Cricetulus griseus: one gene and its partners. The protein of the gene in region 2 purifies or fractionates together with the protein of the main gene of each other region. This does not show direct contact. Links are inferred from orthologs where the notes say so. Each region holds a gene or a part of one and is shown on either strand. Other genes may lie near its edges.

Region 1 (4,264 bases), on a different chromosome or scaffold from region 2:
AGACCAGGGCCTCAAACTCACAGAGATCTGCTCTGCTTCCCAAGTGCTGGATTAAAGACATATGCTACCATTTCCCACCAGCATGCATATATTTCTATGCAACATGTGTGTACCTTGTGTCCATGGAGGCTAGACCATGACATTGCATCCCCTGAAACTGGTATATATAGTTGTGAGCTGCCATGTGGGTGCTGGGAATCGAACCCAGATCTTTAACAATGCTCTTAACCACTGAGCTATCTCTCCAGACCCTAAAAGCTACTTTTAAAGGAGGCTAATTTACCACCTGGCAGGGAGGGCATGTTACAGGCTACAGGCCACAGAGACAAAAATAAGGACCCTGTCCCAACTGTCTCTGCAAGTGCAGACACCACCAGACCCTCTCATAGGGACTTAGGAGAGTAGGATGGAGCGTAGCCAGACAGAAACAAACAAACAAAAAGGTGTGCAGTGGTGGTGCACACCTTTGATCCCAGCACTCAGGAGACAGGTGGATCTCTGTGAGTTAAAGGCCAATAGGAGCTCCTCATCCTGGACTAGAATATGTATAGTCATTGCACTTAACTCACAGGGAGGAGTATTGTGGACGAACCAGACACCCTATGAAGGAGGTATCACTGAGCAAAAATGGGAAGTCCTTACTCTCCAGAGCTGTGTGTGTGAATCCAGGCTCAGGGTTGAGTATCTACTTTATTCTTGTGATATTTTACAGCCCTTACTCTGAGCATTTTTACAAATTAGATGCTAAGTTTCTCTATGAATACCATGAGCCTATAAAGTTTGTCTTCCCTACTTCATCTTTTCCTACTCCCTAAATAATCTCAAGTTGTTACCCCTTTTCCAGTATTTATTCTTTTAGTTATATTTGTGTATCTGTGCATGTGAGTACTGTACCCATGGAGGCCAGGAGAGATCAGACCCCCTGGAGCTGGCATTATAGGAGGGAGGTTGTGAGCTGTCTTTTGTAGGTGTTGGGAGCTAAATTCTGGTCCTCTGTAAGAGCAGTATGTGCTCTTAGCCACGGAGCTTTCTCTTCTACTTTCTATGATTTATTTTACCCTTAATTATGCATAAATGTGTGTAGGTCAGGCATGTGGGGAAGAGGAGTGTTGGTATGTGAATATGAATGCAGGTGCCTTCAGCATCTAGAAGGATCCCCTGAAATTGGAGCCCAGGCAGTTTTGAACCACCTGACATGGGTTCTGGGAATCAAATTTGGGTGCTCTTTAACTGCTGAACCATCTCTCCAGCCCCACCACCTTTTCCTAAATTTAGGGAGTGAGGCTTCTGGATAAAGTTTATGCAAAACTTCCAAAATCAAGTAAAGGTTCCTAACTATAAGTCGAGTCGAATTGTACCCTGTTTCTAGTAGAGAACTATGGTTGAAGAAAGTGGGGGTCTGCTTAGCAGGAGAAGGTTCTCAGGCCTTTAGGGATGGTGCCACCTTTCTAGTGACTAGGTGGCAGAGGTCTGGGCATTATGAGAAGAGTGCACAGTCAGGCTTAGGAATTAAGTTTCTCTTTATATAAACATTTCTTCCCTGCCTGCCCTGCCCAGGAGAAGAAGAAGCCCTCACAGTTGACACCGCAGCGGGGTTTCAGTGAAAACGATGATGACGATGATGATGACTCGTCTGAGACTGATTCTGATGACGACGATGATGATGAAGAGCATGGAGCACCTCTGGAAGGGTAGGAAGGACCCTGTGCCAAGGGCATTTTGTTCAGGAGGCAGTTTGAAGGACTAATTTGGGAATAGATGGCAGCATCTTTTGATATCCTCTACTTGGGTTTTCTCATATCTCAGGAGCCCAGCATTGTGAGTTTTCATTTCTTTCTGGCTCTATTGACTCATCTGCTCCTGTGATGTCACTTAAACTATCGGAATATTTGTGGGCTCAGCAAATACACGGGGTTAACCTAAATCATGGCCCCTGTCTTCCAGGAGCTCCCAGTTTGGGAAATAAGTACATTTGTGCATATGCCAAAGCATTTCTGTCTAGTGGGGCAAACTCCATGCACATAAGCGTTTCCATTTTAGGCTGAGATGCTTCCTGAACAAGAGAGAAGAGCTTCAGGGGCCTCACACTTGGGTGATGCTAAGTAAACAGCAACAAAAAACATTTTACTCTGTTGCAGCCCCATTGTCACAGTGCATCATGATTCACTCCTATAAGTTATAACCAACATGTATTCTGAATACCATCCATTTATACTGGGGATATAGCTCAGTGGTCACGTATTTACCTATATATGTGAGGCCCTGGGTTCAATCCCCAGAACTGAAAGAACAAAACAAAACAAACAAAAAAACATATAAAATACTGTTACTAGCCAAGTGTAATGGTACATACCCGAAGTCTCAGCTACTTGGAAGGCTGAACCAAGAGGATCTCTTGAATCCAGGAGCTTAAGGCCAACTTGGGAAACATAGCGAGGCTTCATCTTAAACAGAAAAGTATAACAAAAATTAATTTAAAAGTTAATTATATAAAACTACCAGTGAACTAAATGATGAAATAACCAATCAAAATTTTGTCTACTTGTTGAAAGTATATGATGTAGCCAAGTGGGTGGCACATGCCTTTAATCGTAGCACTCAGGAGGCAGAGGCAGGCAAATCTCTGAGTTCAAGGCTGGCCTGGTCTACATAGTGAATTCCAGGAGAGCCAGGGATATGTAGAGAGACCCTCTCTCAAAAAGCAAACAAAGAAGAAAGTATATTGTGGTGGGGGGACAGAGAGATGGCTCAGAGGTTAAGAGCACTTGTTACTCTTGCAGAGGACCCAGATTCGGATCTCAGCACCCACACGGTGGCTCACAGCCATCTGTGTCTCCAGTTCCAGCTGATCCAGTGCCCTCTTCTGATGCCTGCATATGATCTATATGCAGGCAAAGCAATCATACACAGAAAACATTTTTTTTTTAAAGTATATAATGTCTATCTGTACTAATAAAGGCCAGCGTATGAATCAGGGAAAGTGGCTCAGACCTGTAATCCCAGCATTCAGAAGACAGGCAGGAGGATTGATGCAAGTTTGAGGCCAGCCTGGTTACATAGTGAGACCCTGACATTTACAGAACTTCTGCTGTGTAGCATTAATCCTGCCCATTGTCAGAGCTTTACCCCAGGAAGCACAGCTTCCCCTGTTCCTCCTGTCTGTGTCTCTGGTGTACTGGCTTGCTTTCCAGATACTGGGCTTTCTCACTTGTTATCTAAAGACACCCCCCTGCCACCGCCCCTAATGCAGCCTCTTGATGACCTCCATTTTGAATATGCCTGTTTTCTTGGGCCCTAACTCAAGACACGACCTTCTCTTTCCCTCTTCATTTCCCTCCTGGTAACTGCCAGTATCCATAGCTAATGCCCTGTTGTTTTTCTCTCAAATTCTAATAAAATGGTTCTTAAGCAGCTTTTAAGTAAGATGTTGAATTTTAAAGTGTATTCATGCTGTGTTGTTCTGTATATGTGGGAAACACTGTCTCTGGAAGGAGGCTGTGCCAGAGACACAGAGAACAACTGTGGCAAGCCATAAGAGAAACAACTTTTACTATATGCATTATAAGTTACTTTGTTTGTTATGTAGCTCAGGCTAGAATGTGTAGTCCTCATACCTGAACCTCTTGAATGCTGGGATTACAGGCATGAACCATCATTTGTTATAGTTTATTATTATTTATATTTTTGGCCCTTGAGGGTTGTTGTTGTTGTTATTATTATTATTATTATTATTTGGTATGAGTGAGTGTGTGTGTGTGTGTGTGTGTGTGTGAGAGAGAGAGAGAGAGAGAGAGAGAGAGAGAGAATATGGAATATGGAGGACAGCTTAAGGGAGTTGGTTCCCCTTCTACCATATGGGTTTCAGGGATTGAATTTAGATCTTCAGGCTTGGTTGCAGGAGTTTTTACCCTCTGAGCCAAAACAAAATGTACAAAAAAGCGCTGGAACAATGGTTAGAAGTGCTTCCTGCTCTTCCAGAGGACCTGAGTTTGGTTCCCAGCAACTATGCCAGCTGGCTTAAAACCATCTGTTAACCCCACTTCCAGGGGATCCAGTGCCCTCTCCTGGCCTTTGCAGTGTGCATGCATGTGTGTGCACCGCCCCCCCACAATCTTTTTAAAAATGTATAGAATATATTTAGTGATGTTGGACACAGTGGCACAGACCTGTAATTCCAACACTCAGGGGGCTGAAACCAGAGTATTGCAGGCCTGTGACCTGCATGAGCTACATACACAAGAAGGCCCTATCTCAAAGAGTCCCA
Region 2 (5,483 bases):
CCTATAAAAACAAAATCCTGAGGCTCTTCAGCAATTATTCCCCATTCCTCCTTTGCCCAGACCCTGAAAGCCACTAAACAATTGCCTGCCTTTATGGATGAGCCAATTCCAGACATTTCACGTGCATGAAACCATACAGTATGTAGCAGTTATGTCTAGATTCTTTTATTTAGCATGTTTTCAGGGTTCAGGATACAGTTTCACTATACTGCATTCTTTTTCATGGCTCAGTAATAAATTTACAGCATTTGGCTTCTCTATTCATTAGTTAATGAACAATGGGTTGGCTCTACTTTTGAGCTTTTATGAATAACCCTGTGATGAATGTTTACATACAAGTTTTTGCATGAATGCACTTTCTTTTTAAGTTTATGTGTCTGTGTTGGGAACTGGCCAACATGGGTGCTGGAAACTGAACTCAGGTCCTATGGGAAGGCATCAAGTGCTTGTAACTACAGAGCCATCATCTCTCAGCCCTTGCTGAATGCATGCCCAATTCTACTGGGTATATACCTAGGTTTGGAATTGCTGGGTCACACAGGAACTCTGTGTTAGCTTCTGGAATAGCTGCCGATTTTCTGAGCAGAGTGATAAAATATTACAACATCCTAATCAATGCCACTTGGGATGTTAATCATTCCCTTTTCCATTGTATACACACTGTATAGGCTACCTGCCCATTAGTCACGTAGCAGCTATCTCAGTTATCAGGTTAACTGTTGTGGTGTTACAGTTCTTGTTATTTTCTTTATCATTGGTCCGAAAGCACAAGAACAGAGCTATTGGCAAGTCAAACATGCCGAAGAAAAGGCAGGAAGTATTTTCTTCTATTTTTGGTTGTGAGCCTAGCCTTTAAAAGCTGAGCCATCTCTTCAGCCCAGGAAGTATTTTCTTTAAGTACTGAAATACTTTATTAAAGAAGTGTGAACACAGAACAGCAAAAAAAAAAAAAAAATTAGAGAAACAGAATATATATTACTTTCATCACAGTATGTTATTATAATTTATATTTTATTATTACTGTTAATCTCTTACAGTGACTAATTTATAATTTAAATTTTATCATAGGCATATATGTATATGAAAAAACTAAAAACAGCAAGGCCTGGCATGGTGGCCCACACCTTTGATCCCAGCATTCAGAAGGTAAAGGCAGATGGATCTCTGTGAATTCAAGGCCAGCCTGGTCTACAGATTGAGTTCCAGGACAGCCAGGGCTGTTATACAGGGTACATTGTCCTGAAAAAAAAAAAGTGCTTGAAGAGTTCAGTGTGATATGTGGGGTCTTTGACTACATCCCCTACAGATAAGAGGGAAATACTGTGCTAAACCAGTGGCTCTCAAACCTGAGCATGCATCAGAAGCTTAAAAGTTGTTCATTTCAGACAGCTGCTCCCCAGCCATCTATGCTTCCAATTCAAGAAATCTTGAGTGAAGGAGATCCTTTGATCTCTCAAAATGTAAATTTATTTATTTATTTATTTTTAGGGTGGGGGATTGTTTCTGACATAGGGTCTTATGTAGCCTACACTGGTCTTGAACTCATTACATAGCCAAGTCTGGCCTTGAACTCCTGCTTCTACCTCCCAAGAGCTGGGGTGACAGATATGAGTTATTCCATCCAGCCAGAACATGAATTTCTTTGTGTGGGTATGGTTGCTCCTGCATGTGTGTGTACACACAAGCATGTGTGTGCCTGTGGTGGCAAGAGGTCACCCTAGGGTGTCATCCTGTTCAGGCACTGCCTACCCTTGTTTTTGGAGACAAGATCTCTCACTGGGACATGGAGCTCATATTTAGCTAGTCTAGCTGACCAGTGAGCAGCACAAATCCTCTTGTCTTCACTCTTCCAAAGCTGAGATTATAAGCACACACCAGCCACTACACAACAGGTTCTCATCCTTTTGCAGCAAGCACTTTACCCACTGAGCCATCTCTCAAGCCCTAGATTCCAAACAAGTTCCCAAGTGGTGCTGATGCTGTTGGCCCAGGGACCATACTTTCAGAATCACATGCTGAAGAACTTTCTGCTTACAAACTCTTTTGATGTCAATTTAGTTTATCTGTAAGTCTCTGAAAAGATCAGCTTTTAGAACGAGACTTTTCTTCTGGTCACAAGCAGATTTAATACACACACACACACACACACACACACACACACACACACCCACCCACCCACCCACCCCTGGGAAACATCACAGATAGCTGAACAGACCAATAGTGGAAGATTTAAAGATGTGGAAGACTAGAAAAGATTTAAGTTAATTAATTACTCTTTACTAACAATCATGAGTGGCTAATGAATAGTACAACTCAGGGTTTCTAAATTCTCCATGGTCTTTCAAAAATAACGTGGTATACTGTCATCTCAATATTGCCAGTGAAACCATTTTACATGGGAAGTTCTTTCTTTTTATTTACTTCTACTGTGATAGACAGTCCACAGTCAAAGTGTCTATGGTGGTTTCGCTAAAGCGCATAACCAGAGTAGAAAATAAAAAGTCTATAAAAAGGGAAAGTAGTGCTGGGGTGGTGGCTAACCAGCACTTGGGAGGCAGAGGCAGGCGGATCTCTGTGAGTTCGAGGCCAGCCTGGTCTACAGGATAGGTCCACAGGAGTGCCAGGAAAGCCAGGGCTGTTACAAGGAGAAACCCTGTCTCAAAAAACAAAACAAAATAACAACAACAAAGTGAAATTTTATGATTAGAAAAAAATCTTGGAAAAACAGTACTCAGCCATCTATATCTTTGCATCTTGGATTCAACCAACTGCAAATTGAAAATATTTGGGAGAAAGATTTATCTTTACTAAACACACACTTTATCTCCCCCCCCCCTTTTCTCTATTCCCTGAACAATTCGGCTTAACCATTATTTATGCATCAATGAATAGTCTAAGATGACGAAGTGGGAAAACGGTTTAGATACAATGCAAATACCATAACACCTTATATTCGTGAATGAGCACCTGGGAAGTTTGGTATCTCGGGAAAGTGGGTGTCTAGAACCAACCCTTAGGGGATATGTTTTTATCTTTGTGAGACTGTGCTTTATGCATTCTTTTCTGTACTTGTGCTTTCAGTCCTGATTACTAGGCAATTTCAAAGTTGACCGGATGCAAGTATTAGCAATACTCGCTGGGAAACTCTCAAAGTTTCACGGGTGCTGTGGCATCGCCAAGCCGCGTCACTTTGGCCCGGAGCGCTAACAAAGTGATGGCTACGGGAAGCGCATTCGCCGGAGCGGGGCTGGGCGCCCCAGCCCGCCTCCCTCGCGACCCCGCCGGTCGCTCACGCACCCGGCAGGCAGCAGGGCAGCAGGGCGGGCGGCCGCGAGGGCCGGGCCCTTCTCCTACCTCGCGCCGAGGGGAGCGGGCTGACCACGAGTGGGCACGGGGAAGACGCGACGCCTGAGCCTCCGCAGTCCAGAGCTGGACGCCCAGCCGTTGCCAGGCGCGAATCCAAGGAAGCCGCTCCCACAGTCCTCCGCGCCGCCTAGGCGAGGCCGGAAGCTCGGGACCGGAAGTGCAGGGTTGCCGGGAACTGCGGACTGCAGAGTGGGACGAGCGATTGCGGTTACCGAGCATGCTGTACCGATGTCTGGGAATTGCCACGTGAGCCGGGGTGATCACAGAAGGAAACCAAAGTCGTGTGGACCCCGAGGCACCCATCCCGAGAGCTGGCAAGCAGGGCGTGATGCCCGGGTGAATGAAATGTGTCCCGGAGCCACCATACACGACGTGGAAGGCTGTTTTCTGCGCCACATTACGTAGAAATTGTATTCATCACACGATAAATTGCCGGATGAGCCTATCGAGGTTCTTCCTAAATAAACTGAATCTGAAAAACTAAAGTAAAGGTAATGAGATAATGAGGCACACCTGTGATCCCATCACTTGGGAGGTGGCACCTGGACGATCGGGAATACAGGGCCAGCAGGGTGACACAAGACCCTGTCCTAACAGCAAAATAATGTTTCCCTCCGGAACAAAAGCTGGACATGTTGACTTGAAGTCCACTATAAAAGACCGAGGTTTCCTAAGCTTGAATTGCTCGGTTGTGTCAGGAAGTAATTGCATGTGTAGCATCCACCTTACCCGCCCACAGGACACTGGGAGGTTGGTTGTAGGGGACAAATTATTAGGTTGGTCAGGCTCCGGCTACGTGGTTTGCTTTGAAGATTAAAGCTCTTTGTCTCTGATCCAGGTGTTTTGCACCAGCATTCAGAAGACAACAGTGTTAAACTAATGTGTTAGCTTGCTAGTGGGATAAATCCTACAGTTATTGACAGCATCTGGCTACCGTGCTTCACTCAGAGCAAATAGTAAGTACTTGTTAAGGTAATTTGTGAACACCATAGAGCCCCCCCCTTTTTTTTTCAAGTTACTGCACTTTGATACAGAAAGAAAAAAAATAGAGTCACTGAATCTTTTTGTTTTTTTGAGACAGGGTTTCTCTGTGTATCCCTGGCTGTCCTGGAACTCGCTCTGTAGGCCAGGGTGGCCTCGAACGCACAGAGATTCACCTGCCTCTGCCTTCTGAGTGCTGGGATTAAAGGTGTGTGCCCCTAACCTCCAGCACTGAATCTTTTTTTTAATGACTGCACACCAGGGTGCCCAGACCTTGTCTGAGAAGAAGATATTATTATGTTTTGTTAAAATAAAAGTTCCTTGGGCAACAGATATTTTTGCCTGTTCACTTAATAATTTTAAACGAATTGTCAGAGTTTGTAATTAGTTACATATAAAGTGGGGTGAATGGGAAGCAGACAAGCATGAGTAATGGAGTAAAAGTGAGCTCCATATGTGAATATGGAGAACACTAGAGGAAAAGCATGTTGGATGGGCAGGGTTGAGCTTAGTTTGGAACACACTGTCAGGTGCCTATAGAACACTCAAGAAGAGATGTTGAGCAAGCAGTTGTATATGAAGATATAAAGCTCAGAGAAGAGGGCTGGGGATGTAGCTCAGTGTTAGAACACTTGCTTGGCATGTACAAAGCCCTGATTCGGATTCCCAGCATCACAATAAACAAGCTCAGAGAAGAGACCCCGTCTACAGATACATACTTGGGATTCATTCATTCCTAAAAAAAGATGGTTTGGAAGACTGTGAGTGACAGAGATGTATTTTAGGATAAGGGGATGTAGAAAGGCAAAAGAGAAAGGACAAGAGAAGGTAATGAGGATGGGTAAATATGAACAAAACAAATTATGTGAATGTGTGGAAAGGCTATAATGAACCCTGTTGTGTGTAAGCATATAGCAGTTCAAAACACTTCTTTAAAAAACCCTAGAACTGAACCTTAGTATTTAGATTTTATAGAAGAGCCCTTAATGACTCTCTTCAGTGGTCAGACATATGGAGGCAAAAAATCAGAGAAAGCATTGGAAGACAAGGAAGTCAATGTGTTCAACAGGAAGGAATTGCACACATAGAAGGAATGTAGTTGAGGGATTAAGTCTAAGCAAAGGATATTTTACTAT
Region 3 (4,264 bases), on a different chromosome or scaffold from region 2:
GTGATAGAATGATGTAGTAATGGAACTTTATACTTTACAATATATTATACTATACAATATACTTTAATGATGGAACTATAGAGGTTGGATTTACAGTCAGTAGGGGGCTGCTGAAGGCTTTTAGGTGGGAGTGACATCAGTTTTGTTTCAGCATTTTAGAAGAGGGTATCTGTCAGTAGTTTAAAAAAAGTACTAAAGTTGGGGAGATCATAGGTAGAACTAAGTTAGAAAGGGATTTGAAAATAAAACAGTAGATATTTTTAATATTTATTCATTAGAATATCATGGTTAGTTTTTATATCTGTCTATTCCTTTTATTCCTTTAAAATTAACATTAGGAATCCAGAAACCTTCTGGACCACCACAGGCATGTTTCCCCAGGAGTTCATTATTTGTTTTCACAAACACGTGAAGATTGAAAAGCTCGTGATCCAAAGTTACTTAGGTAAGCCAATCACACACTAACCTTTTATTATTCTTGAGTTTTTCCATAGACAGAGGACACATGTCAACTTTTGGCAAAGAACTAGTTGTGTTTTTTTTTTTTTTTTTTTTACAGCATGGGACCCTGTTTTATTGCTGAAAAGGAAGGTGGAGAGTATTGGGTTAACTGTCTTCAGCACAATTAGCCTCTCTTAAACTGTAAATTTGAAACCCTTCCAAAGCACATCATAATTTCCATGCAGTTTACTGTGTGAAAGTCTTTGGCAGAAGATTCAATTAGGATGTAAGAAGAAGCTGGCTTGCCAGAATGCTAGGTCCTATGACATCTTCATTCTGGGTTCATTTAGCCTGTAGTTCTCAGATTCTTTCTGTAAATCTGATAACCCCTATTATTCCCACTGGATAGTTTTGATTCTTCTATTGCTAATGATATTTTCTGGGGATTAGGAATGGAATCTCCCTTTGGAACATCAAGTCCTGTCTGTGATAAAGTGTATCAGACAGAATCATGGCAGGAAACAGAATAGATCCCAGATGTTTCAAATGAAGAGACGTTATTAATAGATCTACTTATAAAATTCTGGCCTGAGCTGCAGGAATGAATAAGGGATAATAGCTCTCAGAAACTAGCTACAGCAGAGAGAGTCCTGTCCTGGGACAAGGAGAGGAAAGTGTCACCAGAGCCCAGGGAGATTTCGGGGCTGTACAGGGGGATCTGGCTAGCAGGAGCCTTATGGTTTTGAAGGGACAGGACCACTATCAAAGACATGGCATGAAGCAGGGCAGAGTGTAAATAAAATATCCAGCTCACTTTCTGCCCTACAGTCTTCTGGTGCCTGCTACTAGCCAGCTCCAAAGAAAGCTAGTTGTTCTAGGAGATGCAATCTATAGAAGCAAGCCCCTCCATAATAAGAAATAGAAGGGGAAGGATGGCTGGGGGGTCATGTGGGGAGCTTCTTCTGTCATGAATTGTGGAGGCCCTAGAGTGGACAAGCCTCATGTATGAACTCCTGTTCTGCATTTCCCAGCTTTAGTCCATTGGACACCTTGCCTAGCTTCTGTAAACCTGTGTCCTCATCAGGGAAGTGGGTTAGTAATACCTTTCTCATAAAGACTTCAGCCAAGAGAGAATGAACAAAGACGTCTGACCCAGCATGTTCTCCATAAAGGGTTAGGACCATGGCTACCAGAAGTATCACAACCAGTATATAAACACTCCAGATAATAACCAGATTCAGAAAAGCTCTATTAGATTTGTGCTCTGAGTGATAAACAGTGGCAAGATTGCCATTGGACAGTGTTACATTTTGCCATAGGGACTTAGGGAAAAACAGTCATAGCTTCCAGGATGTGTTATTCCTGTTCCAAGCACTTTGTGTGGTACCCATCAATCTATGGCAGTCAAGTAGTAGGGAAAAGAAAAACAGAAACAACAAAACAGAATTAAAAAGCTAATTAATATTTATTTATTCTGTTTATAATGCCAGTGCGGACCTTGAGGATTGAAAAGACTGCATCTAAAGAGCCATTCGATTTTGAGCAGTGGGTGGAAAAAGGTGTGTATGATGCCAGTACTTTTCTGAGCATGAGGGAGTAGATGGCTGGCCTCTGACTCTGTGATATCAGTCCAACTGCATTTTGGTAAATAAAAGGTTATTTTAATGATTCTTTAACACAGATAAGGCCTAGAAAAACACACATTTGTAGTCTTCATGTACTGTTTATAAAACAATTAACATTTTTGCTGGGCGTTGGTGGCGCCTGCCTTTAATACCAATACTCAGGAGGCAGAGGCAGTTGGATCTCCATGAGTTCGAAGTCAGCCTGGTCTACAGAGCGAGCTCCAGGACAGGCTCCAAAGCAATACAGAGAAACCCTGTCTTGAAAAAACAAAACAAAGCAAAAATTAGCATTTTCAAAATTTAGGTTATCAAAAAAAGAGATGACACATTTGAGGCTTTTATGATAAGCAAAAAATATTCATTTTGTACTTTTCTTTCCTGATTAATGATGCTGTTTATTTAAACTGAGCTGGGCATGGTGGCACATGTCCTCAATCCCAAGATTCAGAAAGTAGAGGCAGGGGGAATCTCTGAGTTTGATCTACATACATCTTTCTAGGCCATCCAGCATGACATAGTGAGTCCCTATTTCAAAACAAAAAAAAAGTTTTTTTGATAAACATCATCAACTAAATTACTATCTTCCATTTAAGTACAAACATACATAATGTGTCTATCTCCTTTTCTTAGCAAATACCATGAAAACAGTAGAATAAAAACACATAAAACTATAGTGAGAAAAGAAAACATAAACCTAGTGAACCAGGCAAATGTAGATCAATAGTTTTTATTGCCAGAGGGACAGCCATAACTTCTAGAACACAGCAGATTAGGTTGTAACCTAGTGCCTTCCAAGGAAAGTATCATGAAGTAAGCTAATTTATTACATGGAACCCCAGGAAGGCCTAAATGTGAGAGCAGCAGGTGATGTGGAAAGTATGAATGAGACTAGTTCATAGTTGGTTTCTTATTTTAGCATTGTACTGTCCATGTAGTTAGACCAGGAAGTGGACATGTGGTCTACTTACCACAATATAAACTTAACTTACATGTAAGTAAGAAAGAGAGTATAAACATATTAAATTCCAGAAAAAAAACACAAATTTATTTAATGTATATGGATGTTTTGTTTGCATGTATATCTGTGCACCATGCCTGGTGTCCACAGAGGCCAGAAGGTAGGCATCAGATCCCCTGGGACTGTAGTTATAGACAGTTGTGAGTTACCATGTGGGTTCTGGGAAGGGAACCCAGGTCCTCTAGAAGAAGAGTCAGTGCTCTTAACCACTGAGCCATCTTGGAGGACCCCCACCCTCCACCTCCCACCACCACTTTTTGTACAGGTTTTTATTCCATGTAGCCCAGGCTGGTCTGGAATTTATTATAATCAGTCCTTCTGCCTCAGTCTCCTGAATACTGGGATTTCTGGTGTACACCACAATTCCGGGCTACAAAGTGGAACACATTCACTGCTAGGGAGCATAACCAGAGGAGTAGGCACAGGAAAGCAGGGATAATAGTTTTTTTATTATCTAAGGAAAGCATTAAGGAGCAGGAAAAAAGCCTCCAGGATCTTACTTCCCAAAGTCTTCTCCTTTGGTCCTGGGTAGCTTTTGAAATTCTGTACATTATTTGGTACAAATGAATGTCAAAAGATATTATTATATTAACTAAATAGTTCACATTTCTGAACAATTACTCCTGGCTAAGTAAACTATTCCAGGAGTATGTTACTAAACTTGAGTACCAGAAGAGATCATGTCACAGGCTGTTCTACATCACAGTGAAATTTTCCTGTGGGTAAAGTCTGAAATTACTAGGAGCTCGATTAATAAGGGGAAGGAGTCTGCATTTTACCAGTTTCCTGCTGTATATTTCTTTAGTATGATTTACATTTGCATTTCTGTTGTAAACTCACTAGAGGTATTTTACAGCTCATTCATTTTTTAAAGTCAAATGTCTTATATCAAATCAACCCCCAAATAATGGTAATTCCTTTAAATCTGGCTTTAACATATAGTTTGCCAAATAATCACTTTTTGTTGGGCACAAATTTCTGTAGCTATCCTCATATTTTTGAACCTTAATCTATTTCTATTAAATTTGTGTCTTAGATTTAATACACACAGAGGGGCAGCTTCAAAACGAAGAAATTGTGGTAAGTATACATACTTTGTAGAGATAAGATTTCTTCAGTGAGCCCAATTTAGATTTTAAACTTTCCTAGTATGAATTATTCATGATGAATATCCTCATGG

Evidence for each region. Proteins that work in one complex are often made in the same cells at the same time.
Region 1: the proteins of Ift88 (region 2) and Ift46 purify together in Homo sapiens (affinity purification with mass spectrometry; 3 studies listed by BioGRID and IntAct, with this or other methods). This does not show direct contact. The link is inferred for Cricetulus griseus from reciprocal best matches to the Homo sapiens genes IFT88 and IFT46.
Region 3: the proteins of Ift88 (region 2) and Hspb11 purify together in Homo sapiens (affinity purification with mass spectrometry; 3 studies listed by BioGRID and IntAct, with this or other methods). This does not show direct contact. The link is inferred for Cricetulus griseus from reciprocal best matches to the Homo sapiens genes IFT88 and IFT25.

Annotation. Positions count from the first base shown.
Region 1 is NC_048597.1:156,455,796-156,460,059, forward strand, and holds part of Ift46 (intraflagellar transport protein 46 homolog), read left to right. Parts: intron 1-1,557; coding exon 1,558-1,691; exon of another isoform or gene 1,692-2,409; coding exon of another isoform or gene 2,410-2,444; intron 2,445-4,264. UniProt on the Homo sapiens protein: Forms part of a complex involved in intraflagellar transport (IFT), the bi-directional movement of particles required for the assembly, maintenance and functioning of primary cilia. May play a role in chondrocyte maturation and skeletogenesis.
Region 2 is NW_023276807.1:212,488,699-212,494,181, reverse strand, and holds the start of Ift88 (intraflagellar transport protein 88 homolog), read right to left. Parts: upstream 3,509-5,483; 5' UTR 3,355-3,508; intron 1-3,354. UniProt on the Homo sapiens protein: Positively regulates primary cilium biogenesis. Also involved in autophagy since it is required for trafficking of ATG16L and the expansion of the autophagic compartment.
Region 3 is NC_048595.1:42,542,123-42,546,386, reverse strand, and holds part of Hspb11 (intraflagellar transport protein 25 homolog), read left to right. Parts: intron 1-338; coding exon 339-445; intron 446-1,931; coding exon 1,932-2,000; intron 2,001-4,120; coding exon 4,121-4,164; intron 4,165-4,264. UniProt on the Homo sapiens protein: Component of the IFT complex B required for sonic hedgehog/SHH signaling.